Linked DNA regions of Ovis aries. The protein of the gene in region 3 binds, or shares a complex with, the protein of the main gene of each other region. Links are inferred from orthologs where the notes say so. Each region holds a gene or a part of one and is shown on either strand. Other genes may lie near its edges. The genes, in order: CDH5, PRKCZ and PARD3.

Region 1 (3,649 bases), on a different chromosome or scaffold from region 3:
TTCGTTCCTGCCTGGGTCCCCTTTGGTGCGTGTGTGTGTCCTCCCTACTGGCCGAGAGCGTTGGTACCATGGGGGCTGTTCGACTCCCCTGGGTATATCCAGTTCCCAGCACAGGGCTGGATCAGAAAAGGACTCCAGAGAGGTCTGCTGGAGGAGTGGTCTGGCTCAGGTACACAGGTTCGAGTGTCCCCTCTGAGGAGGAGATCCCTGGCCTGGGCCCCCTAGTCCTCGGCGTGGCCATTCTGGAGGCAGTTTGTGCCCCCGGCAGACCTTGTCTCCTCTTCTAGATTCAGCTGGTTTGCCCTCTCTGCAGCAGCCACTGCCAGTGGGCACCCCATCCCCATGGTATTCACTGTGTCCTTACACACTGACAGCTTTTGGCTGCAAGCACCTGTACTCTACCAGGGCTGTCCTCGCCAGCGCCCAGGGCAGATCAGAAAGTGCCAGGAAGTGGGCCCCCAGGAGCCCTCAGGCAGCCCACAACTGCTGCGACTCAGAAGCATGTTCCGCATAGTTGCCTAGATGTCCCCAGTGGGACCGTTTCCCACTCACCCACAGTGATCACCTGCTCACTAAGGAGCCTGTCTTAACTCTCCTCCCTTTTACATCTCACTGCTCCTGGGGGCTTCCTGAGATCACCCCCCAAATGAGCTGTATACACCTAAGTCCTTGCCTCAAGGTCTGGTTCTGGGGTAGCCCAGCCCAAGGGACTGACCCTTCTTTCGTGGCTCCACGTCCCAGCTCCAGGGTCACAGGATCCACGAGCACGTGGCCTGCTCCACGCTGGCCCAAACGTGGACCTTTGGTGGCCTCTGACCCAGGAGCAGCCCCTGGCTGAGTCCTGAGCATGCCAGGGCCCCCAGTCCCCCATCTGATGCCACAGCTGCAGGCCTGCGAACCTTTATGGGCTTGATGATGCCCTCGTTGTGGGTGGGGTCCGTCTCGATGGTGAAGGTGTCCCTGTACTCGCCCTGCACGAAGCTGTACTTGGTCTTCCGGTTTTGGGGCTCATCTGGGTCCTCAACAAACAGAGAGCCCAGGGGGCTGCCCACGCGGATGTCTTCTGGCACAGAAAATGTGTACCTGGCTGATGCAGAAGGGGTGCCCCAAAGGGCATGGGGTTAATGAGGTAGACAAGGTAATTGTCGCATATACTATCCCAGTATGTTCTGATACAAGCAACAGGCACAATAAAGTAGCAGAAGCAGTAGTAGTAATTCCTCTGGAATTTTGGGTCTCAAGGCACAGAGGTTCCACTCATCTGTCCTTTCATCCCTTCATCCATCTGACAAGTAGTTATCAAGCACCCCCTGTATGTCAGGCACTTTGCTGGGGGATCTGTCAACTGCCAAGAGGAGAAGCCCTGCCTTTGAGGAGCTTTCACCATTCACAGTGAGGTCATTTCAGGGCACGCTGGCCTGTCCTTGCAGTGGCTGAGCCTCTGAGTGGCATCAGCCTTGGAGGTGCAGGTGATGAGCCTATCTGACCTCCTCCCCACCCAGCGCGTGTGAAGAGCTCCTGTTGGACATTTTCCTGTGGGGAGAGTCAGTCTGTGGGTGGGTCAGGGCCCAGCCCTGGCTCTGGCGCTCTGCTGAACCCTGGCTCCCCAGCTCGTGGGTTTTCCCAAGCTCATGGAAACTGGGTGAAACTGGTCCTGTCTGTTAGTGGGACTCTGGGCATGTGGGACACAACAGAGAGTATGATCTGCTGCTGGCCCAAGAGGGCGCCCTGGCAGGCCAGGTGTGCAGCCTTGGGAGTATGTGCAGAGACGGGGAGCGCCGGGAAGCCATCTCTGATGTAGGCTCACTCTGGGGTGGAGGGAGAGGTGGATGGATGCCAGGCTCCTCCCTGAGAGCACCGCCCCCACCAGGGCCCAGGGAGAGGGGCTCACACTGGGTGAAGATGGGGAAGTTGTCGTTGACGTCCTGCAGAGTGATGAACACAGTGGCTGTGCCTGACTCCCCCCGGCGGCCCTGGGCGTCTTCTGCTTCCACCACAACCTCGTACTTATCCTGCGTCTCTCGGTCCAGGTGTTTGTTCATGGTGACAATGAGTCCTGCAAAATGTGTCCTGTCAGGAACCATGCTACCTGAGGAACTTTTAAAGAATATGGATGCCCAGACGCTACCCAGAGAGCCGTGACTTCAGAGCTCCTGGGTGACGTCCCTGTGCAGCCAGGGCCAAGAGCCAGGGGACATCCACCACCCATCTCCACGCCCTGCACTGTCAGGCCAAAGCCACACAAACACTTTTGTCCACTGTGGGCCGAGAAAGAGCCTGAGGCCACATCTAGGCTCAGAGTGAGCAAAGTGCTGTGATGGGTTATGCCTCAGTGCAGCATAGGTTGTGTATTCGCCATTGTTCTGAATGGTGGCATGCCCCAGGCCTGACCACTTGGACTTTTGTCTTTCTCCAAAGACTCAGTCCTTACAGTTTTTTTAGGTCACATGTGATAGCTAATGACAACGAGCCACATGCTCTTTATACGTCATCTAATTCAGACTTCACAGCTCCTGTATGGGGTGCGTGCATATAACCTTCCCCATTTTCACCATGAGGACTCGCCAGTGCTCAGAGGTTGGTTGATTTGCCCAAGGTCTTTAGAAGTGGTGAGCAGCAGAGATGGGGTTGGAAACCAGATCTGTGTGGTTCCATAGCCAGAGCTGCTAACTAGCCTTCTCGTCTGCCTCTCGTGTCACTGCTTGGGTGGATTTTTGTCCCCTGGACTTGAGTTTACATCCTGGGCACCTGTCTGCCTCCTCCTGCCCTCACCAGCCCCCTTGTCTTGACGCGTGGTACCGACCGCCTCCACAGGACACTGCGAGTCAGTGTTTGGTGACATCTGTCAGACTGGGCTTCCCTCTGTGCCTACACCTCCACCCGCTCCAAGCCAGTGCTGCCCAGGGGGGTTAGTCACACGGACCAGGGCCACGGATGTCGAAACTGTCTTTTCCCTTTGTGAGCTGGTACACGACAGAAGCGTGGTCTGCCACTGTGGGGTCATCTGCATCCACTGCTGTGACCTGGATGACCGAGGTCCCTGCCGGGAGAGAATCCAGGGTTACTGCCTTGTGACCACCAGCCCCTCACCCCATTCCCAGATGAGGGCAGATGGGGCTCAGGCTGTCCCCTGAACCCCCTCTCCCGGGTCCTGTTTTCTGAGGAGCCTGCCTGGCGCTGAAGTGCTGACAGTGGCGGAGGCCCAGCCAGTCAAACATGTAGGGTGAAGAGAGCAGTGGTTTTCTTTTATGGGGGAAATGAGGGGAGGGGTGAGTGTCTGCAGTCATGGAGAGAAACAGAGGAAGAGCTGCTCTATTTTTGCTCCTGGAAGCATGAGAACAAGAGAATAGGAAGGGTCCCAAAAGACTGGGTGTCGCATGTCTTTCCCCTTGAACTCCAGGCTCCCCAGGCTTAACAAGAAGGTCTGGTCTTGAGCCCTAACCAGAGAGCCTGGACGAAGGGGTGGGGATGGGAGCTCTTTTCTTGCATCCCCTGGAGGCTGGGAGTAGAATTGAGGAAGAAATAGTCTCCTCTGGGGGCCTAGGGTCCAGGCTGGTGACATACCTGGGGATGAGGTGTGTCCCTCTCCACTGCTCCCCCCGCGACTCCTAAATAGACCCTAAAGGTAACCCCTTATCTTGATGGCAGA
Region 2 (3,649 bases), on a different chromosome or scaffold from region 3:
TGGGTGGGTGGGTGGTGGGTGGACATGGGTGGACAGGTGGGTGGGTGTGCGTGGATAGTGGGTGGATGTGTGTGAATGGTGGGTGGGTGGAGAGTGAGTGGACGTGTGTGGATGGTGGGTGGGTAGATACGTGTGGATGTGGACGACAGGTGGGTGGATGTGTGTGGATGGTGGGTGTGGGGGGTGGGTGGAGAGTGGACGTGTGTGGATGGTTGGTAGGCATGGGTGGTGGGTGGGTGGGTGTGGATGGTTGGGCGTGGGTGGCGGGTGGATGTGTGTGGATGGTGGGGGTGGGTGGAGAGTGAGAGGATGTGTGTGGATGGTGGGTGGGTGTGTGGATGGTGGGCATAGATGGTGGGTGGGTGGGTGGGTGGATGTGTGGACGGTGGGGGTGGTGGTAGGTGGACATGTGTGGATGGTGGGCGTGGGTGGAGAGTGAGTGGACGTGTGTGGATGGTAGGCGTGGGTGGTGGGTGGACGTGTGTGGATGGTGGATGGTTGGTGGGGGTGGATGGTGGATGGGTGGGTGGTGGGTGGGTGTGTGGTGGGTGGGTGTGTGTGGATGGTGGGCATGGGTGGTGGGTGGATGTGTGTGGACAGTGGGGGTGGGTAGAGAGTGAGTGGATGTATATGGATGGTGGGCGTGGGTGGATGTGTGTGGATGGCGGATGGTTGGTGGTGGGTGGATGTGGCCTCTCATCACTCCTGGGGAAGGAACAAGCGTTTACTGAGTGAGGCCTAGGCCCTCGTCCACCCTTGTGACTATGCACAGAACTGCAGAAGCTCAGAGCACGGCCATAAGTCCAAATGGAATCAAAATTGCTCTCTGAATGCTTCTTAGCAGTAAAAAAAAAAAAAAAACAAACAACTCTCCACAACCAAAAAAAAAAAAAACCTACTGAAACCCAAGAACTATGCAATACTGGGCACGGCAGACCTTTCCAGAGACATGAATCTGTGGTGGCCACTGCACTAGAGCCTCCTAGAACTCCTGAGGTTGCAAGAGAGGGAACCCCAGCCCCCACCCTGACTCCCATGGGCAGCAGCATAGAGATGTGGGCGCCCAGGGCAGGCAGCCCGCCCACCCTTGCTCTGGAGAGGCCGCCCCAGCCCTGCAGCGAGTGGCCACACTCACAGGCCCTGGCCTGGGAGAAAGGATCTAGAAAGGGTTCTGGGGGTGGGAGCAGCAGCCCTACTTCCGTCGCTCTCCTCGGAGGGAAGGTCCACGTCATCGCTCTTGTCGTCCACTGCAGGCTCCTGGGAAGGCATGACGGAATCCTGCAGAGACACGGGCCGAGTGACCAGGCAGCACTACACGGGGCTTCTGGAGACACTGCGTGACCGGGACTCACTTTCACATACACTGTGATGTCACAACACACGTCATTCACCTGTTACAGCATCGCCCTGAACATGGCAAGATGAGCACTGAAATTACCTGCGTTCCCACAGGCGGAGGTGGCCGCTCAGCCCTCAGGCTCCACCCTTCTAGCAGGCACTTATAAAATGTGTCTTTTCACATAGCAACGCTTAGTCCCGTCAGCCCTGCCCTCATTGCACAGCGGCCGCAGTCAGGCCCCAGCTCCAGGTTCCACGGCTGACATCACAATCGAGGCAGCTCCCTATTGGTGGACCCTGGGGCCCCAAGAGTGCTGGGGGACTCCTGGGGCTTGGAAACAGGTCCCGACCCAACTGCTGACCCAGGCCGTCACTCTGCAGCCCCTACATCACCCCCTCTTCTCATCTTGTGGGTAGCAGGGATGGGGTTAGCATCCCAGCTGGGCAGGGAGAGGCCAAGGGTCCCCAGGGGCAGCAGTGTGGACTGCACCCCAGCCGGCCGAGGTGTCCACTCACCATATGCCTGCTGCAGGTCAGTGGGACGAGCACGTAGCAGCGCTTATGAACCAGCAGTTTGCAGTGGATGCACCTGTAGCCCTGCCTCGCGAGGCCCCATATCCTCTCGCTGCACTGGCCGCAGTACGCTCTCTGTGTGGACAAGAACAGGCACCATCAGCCAGGCCTGTGCCCCCATGGTTTCTCCACACCAAGAGGACACACCTGTGCCCCCATGGTCCCTCCGCACTGAGGGGACATGCAGCCAGGCCAGGAAGAGGCCTCTTCATACAGGGTACCAGGCCCCACCCAGGCCCAGTAGTCCTGACTTGGGTCTTTCCCAAGGTTAGGGGAACCAAGGCCCCGAGGTGCTGGGCTATGCTCCCATAGGACCTTGTGGGCAGGTAATGAGACCTCTCCATGGGCAGGGCCTCCTTGCCTGCAGGACCTGGAGCGGGGCTGCAAATCCATTCTGGCTGTGCTCAGATCGGCCGAGGCGCCCCGCCAGAGTGAAGTGACCCAGGTGAGAAGGTCGTGGGGGAGCCTGACCACTGCATGACCCTCGTCCAAACCCACATGACCCCTGCATGACAAACACAGAGGCAACCATGCCTGGCAACTGAATGCATCTGGATTCTGAACTGCTCTGGGGCTCCATGCGACTCAGTTCAGTTCAGTTGTGTCCAACTCTTTGTGACCCCATGGGCTGCAGCACGCCAGGCTTCCCTGTCCATCACCAACTCCTGAAGCTTGCTCAAATTCATGTCCATTGAATCAGTGATGCCATCCAACCATCTCATACTCTGTTGTCCCCTTCTCCTCCTGCCTTCAGTCTTGCCCAGCATCAGGATCTTTTCCAATGAGTCAGTTCTTTGCATCAAGTGGCCAAGGTATTGGAGTATCAGCTTCAGCATCAGTCCTTCCAATGAATATTCAGGACTGATTTCCTTTAGGGTTGACTGGTTGGATCTCCTTGCTGTCCAAGGGACTCTCAAGAGAGTCTTTAACACCACAGTGCCTTTGAGTGTTTGAGTGTCTCCTGCAGAGGTACAGGTTAGCAGTGGCCTGCGACAGGGGCAGGGACTCTGGGTGCCGCAGACCTGGGTGTGGTATAAGCCCTCTTGAAGGAGGTCGCCATTAACTCTGCCATAGAGCCGTCAGAACTTACACAGGACTGGGGAAACAGACTCTTGGAGGGCACAAACAAAACCTTGTGCACTCCAGGACCCAGGAGAAAGGAGTAGTGACCCCACAAGAGGCTGACCCAGACTTGCCTGTGGGTGTCCATGCTAGTACGAGTCCACCCTTGTATTTTTCTCAGCATTTTAAAAATATTTTAAATGGTCAATCTTTGTTCCTCTTGGTTATAAACGCTTGAAACTCATGATCATGACTGGCTCGTTTGGTGAGGTTTTTGTAATTCTGGAAGTCACAAAATGCAAAGATGAGTGTGTCCAGAAGTGAGGTCACCTGCCCACCACTTGGAGCCCAAGCTGTCTCCTTGGTTACATGGTGTCTGTACGTTGGCAGGCTCCTGCTTACTTCTGTTCCAGCCATATCTCATTTACATGTTTTACCCTCTTTTGCCATGTTTAACAAATTTCTTTCCTTCAAGAAAGTTTCAAATTACTCCTGGAGAACAGAAAGGATGCACTGTACTGGTACTGACCAGAGCAAATCTTCCCCAAGAGTGGGCTAAGGGTGCAGGACCGGCTACTGGCAGCCAGTGGGCACAAGGAGCTCATTTCCCCCCAGGAAGGAGCCTCTCCTCCACACAGAGTACGTACATCTCAGTCACAGCGACATGGCCAGCACC
Region 3 (3,649 bases):
ATCTTTTGAAGATACCATCATAGCTCCCGCCCTGGACCCATGCTGGGAGTGTCCTGGGAGGAGGAGGGTGCTCCACCTCTGGCATCAGCAGTCCCAGGAAACACTGGGACAGGCCTTTCCACCTCCCGAGTGCCTGCAGTTGGAGCCACGTTCTGAGTACCAGCATCTGCTGTCCCCCATCTTGGGGCCACCCCTGTGATGTGGTGGTGCTGTGGCCTTCCTCGCCGGACCCTGCGCAGCGGGGGCTATGCTGAGTTTGAGTGTAGGGGCCACAGAGTGCGGCTGGATGGCTGTGTGCCCAGGCTTCTAAAAAGGAGACCCCAGGTAGGTGCAAATTATCTAACTATCAAAACCCACCGTTTCCTCACAGTCTCCTCTGTTAGTTCACGAGTCATTCTTCTGATTCAGTCCAGTTGGGTACTGCCAGATGTAAGGAATTAATTGTGGATTTTTAAGCAACTTGAGATAACATCTTTAAAGAAAGATGGGAGGTGGTTTTTGGATTAAGTCATAGGATGGGGGTGTCGAGAGCTGCTTTGGGGTCAAATTTGGTTGGTTTGTTTTAGAATTTTGCACTATTAGAGTTTATCATGTTTCAGGGAGGCTTTCTTTCTGTCGGAGAAATTCCTTTTTGTCTGAGTCAGCCTCTCTTGTTGGCTGGTTGGGGAGTAAATAGGAGAGGGGAGGTTTTTCTTTTGTGAAGCTGGGTAAGAACCTTGAGGATCTCTTAGGTTGGTTATTTCTTTATAAACAGTAGAAAAACATTCAGCATCTTAGTTCACTTTAGAAGATCTCAGTTGTTGCCTGATGTGTACAGGTGCTGTGGGCTGCTGGTGCCCCAGGATGGGTCTCTGCCCTGAGGGGTCTGAGGCCTGGTTTTAATGGTTGTATGTGTGTGCTAAGTTGCTTCAGTTGTGTCCGACTCTTTGCAACCTTATGGGCTGTAGCCTGACAGGCTCCTCTGTCCATAGCATTCTCCAGGCAAGAATACTGGAGTGGGTTGCCCTGTCCTCCAGGGGATCTTCCCCACCCAGGGGTCTCTTATGTCTCTTGCATTGGCAGGCAGATTCTTTACCACTAGTGCCACCTGGAAAGCCCTTTAATGGTTATGGGATTTTTGCTTTTTTCCCTGCAGCTTGGAATCCAGCACTTACAGGTGCCGACATGCTTCTTAAATCTATATGTCTTTATAGGTGACACTGGGGGTAAAACATTACTTCCTTAAACTGAAGATAGTCTAGTCTATATACGTGTAGACTTGGGTTACATATTTTTCGTTGTTATTTTTTCCCATTCTAAGTGAAAAAAAAAAAAAAAAGAATGAAAGAAAGAAAAGACAAGACTCTATCCTGATCAGATTTTCCCTTCCTCGTGTGTCCTCCTAACAAATCCATTTGATCCTTGTGCAAGAAGCAGTGCGTCCAAAAGAGCAGAGCAGTCACTGAGAAGTCAGAGTGACATCTGAGCTGAAATGCCCTTTCTCTTCCATGATCTCAGACAGGTTGGGTTTCCTGCTCCCCTGGCCTCACACCTGCACATGGAGCCGGAAGCATTTACCTCGAATGAATGTCCTGAAAACCATTGCTGTGCATGAGTGGCCCCATGCTGGCCCCTCGTGGAGTCGGGAGGGTTAGGGAGGCCCAGGGAGGCCTGGTGCAGGCGCCCACCTTCAGCTCTCTGGTGGTCCCCAGGCCTGGAAGGAGAGGCTTGGAGCTGGGGAGGACACTCCTGTAGGTCCATATTGTTTTTCGGGTCTCAGCCTCATTTACTGTCTCACGCCCTTTCCTGGTGCCTCTGGCCTATCAGGTGACAGTACTGCCCACCGTCTGCCCTGGGCGTCCTGACCCTCCCTGGGACGTAATCGGGGAGAACGTGGCTGGCCTCAGTAAGCTGTTGTCTGGCTCTCCTTTTCCTAAGTTGTAAGCAGGTGTGACCAGCATAAACTCAACTTCTGCCTGGTCCTCCAGGCCAGCGGTGCTGGGGATGCAGCTCTGCGCGTGAGCATGAAGGTGTTTCTGCAGGAAATTGGGTTCCTTTACGTTGGGAGGATAAAGTACCTGGAAGGCTTCTTTCCCCACAGCTCAGGCCATCTGGAGTGTCAGCCAGGATAGTCACACTGAGGTTCTTGAGCAAGCTCTGCCTGAAGTCAGAGGATACAGGATAAAGGGAGCGTTGATCCCAACAGGCGCCCGTGTCCATGGGGTTTCTTTTGGTGGTTAGGGGAGCATAAGCCTCTTCGTGGATTCTAGTTTTCCGAGAAAGTCTTGTTGAAATTTCTTTTTTGTCCAATTGGGTTATTTATTATATGTATTTTATACATTATTTGTGCAACAGCATGGTGTTTTGTTCATTGTTTTGTGCTAAAGAGCAGAAGATGATCCCTGCATTTGGGGAACTTATCTAGAGATAAAAAAGTATCTCCATGCGTGTGCAAGGAAACAGGCTATCATGTGACACCTCTGTGGTCTGGATGAACACCTTGGGGTCGGAGGGCATTTCACGGGGAGGTGGTTGTGATCTCTGTGGGAGAGGGAAGGACAGCCTGGGTCACTGGAATTGTGGGGTGAATGCTCTCAGCTGTGTGGAGGGGAAGGGACCAGTGTCTACTGAGCACCTGCTCTGTCTCGGGCTTGGCTCTGGGTGCCTAGGGTAGGATCCACAGAGAGTCCGGAAAAGCAGGCTTGGAGAGTGTTGAGTGCTTGGCCGAGGACGTTGGGTTTTAGTGGTTAGGATGTAGTGAGTCACTGGAAGTGACTCATCCCAGGGCAGGGACACGATGAAATAGGTGTTTTGTGAAGATGAATGCAGTCTCAGGATGTAGAGAGGATTAAGACAGGAGCCTGGAAGCAGTGAGATGAGTTAGAAGGTGATTCCATTATTGAGAACAAGAAAAGAAGGAAGGGGAAAGGAAGGGATGTATTCACTTGTTACTTAAGGTGATAAAATTATGAAATTATACATATATGTTTCTTATGGAAAATCAGAAGGGTGGCCAATTGAGTTTAGCAGTTCTTTCCCATTGTCTGTGGCTGCAGATTCTACTTCAGACTAAAGATGAGATGCTACCTTTCATGGTGTTCTGTGCACAGCATTTAAATTGCGGTGCAGTATTTCATGGATTATATGTCCTCAATTTCTAATTGTTGGGTGTGTAGCTGCTTTCCTATTTTGTAGTACTGTTTATTAAAACATCTGATTTTCTATATACATCTTGACCATGTAGACAAACATTTTAAATTCCTGGGTCACATACTGATCACTTCCAGGAAATTTTCTGTTAATTAATTCTGTCATGATAAGACAGATTCTTCAATTGTCCCAGCTTTTTGTTTTTTAAATAAAATTTCTCTCCAGACGCAGGGTCCACTTCAGTATCATACATTGCATCTAGATACTAGATACTGTGCATTCAAAAAAAAGAAATCAGTGCAGTTGTGTTATTAAGGTCTCAACTTCTGGACTTGTCTGGTTGTTTCCTTGGGGTGTCATTTGACTTTCCGTCCCCTGTATTTCCTGTGGGGAGGTGAGGTTTATGGCTTGCTTAGGTTAAGTCAGAGGAGGATGGTACTGCCAGTAGGAATGAAGACAAGATGTTGATTTTATGGGCAAGATAAGGGATAAAAGCTTCATAAATTAGAATTAAAATAGG

The links.
Region 1: the proteins of PARD3 (region 3) and CDH5 are in contact, whole or in part, in an NMR structure (PDB 2KOH), measured with the Mus musculus proteins. The link is inferred for Ovis aries from reciprocal best matches to the Homo sapiens genes PARD3 and CDH5. Residues at the interface, in NP_296369.2 of Mus musculus: Ala599, Gly600, Leu601, Gly602, Val603, Ser604, Val605, Lys606, Gly607, Arg609, Lys611, Lys622, Ile625, Asn655, Gln656, Met659, Arg663, Met666; in NP_033998.2 of Mus musculus: Tyr774, Gly775, Asp777, Gln779, Glu780, Glu781, Leu782, Ile783, Ile784.
Region 2: PARD3 (region 3) and PRKCZ share a complex: the UniProt entries of both Homo sapiens proteins name them as parts of the par polarity complex. The link is inferred for Ovis aries from reciprocal best matches to the Homo sapiens genes PARD3 and PRKCZ.

Annotation. Positions count from the first base shown.
Region 1 is NC_056067.1:33,719,328-33,722,976, reverse strand, and holds part of CDH5 (cadherin-5), read right to left. Parts: intron 3,041-3,649; coding exon 2,924-3,040; intron 2,057-2,923; coding exon 1,892-2,056; intron 1,088-1,891; coding exon 900-1,087; intron 1-899. UniProt on the Homo sapiens protein: Cadherins are calcium-dependent cell adhesion proteins. They preferentially interact with themselves in a homophilic manner in connecting cells; cadherins may thus contribute to the sorting of heterogeneous cell types.
Region 2 is NC_056065.1:49,930,809-49,934,457, forward strand, and holds part of PRKCZ (protein kinase C zeta type), read right to left. Parts: intron 1,987-3,649; coding exon 1,855-1,986; intron 1,279-1,854; coding exon 1,197-1,278; intron 1-1,196. UniProt on the Homo sapiens protein: Calcium- and diacylglycerol-independent serine/threonine-protein kinase that functions in phosphatidylinositol 3-kinase (PI3K) pathway and mitogen-activated protein (MAP) kinase cascade, and is involved in NF-kappa-B activation, mitogenic signaling, cell proliferation, cell polarity, inflammatory response and maintenance of long-term potentiation (LTP).
Region 3 is NC_056066.1:17,899,209-17,902,857, forward strand, and holds part of PARD3 (partitioning defective 3 homolog), read left to right. Parts: 5' UTR 1-198; coding exon 199-324; intron 325-3,649. UniProt on the Homo sapiens protein: Adapter protein involved in asymmetrical cell division and cell polarization processes. Seems to play a central role in the formation of epithelial tight junctions. Targets the phosphatase PTEN to cell junctions.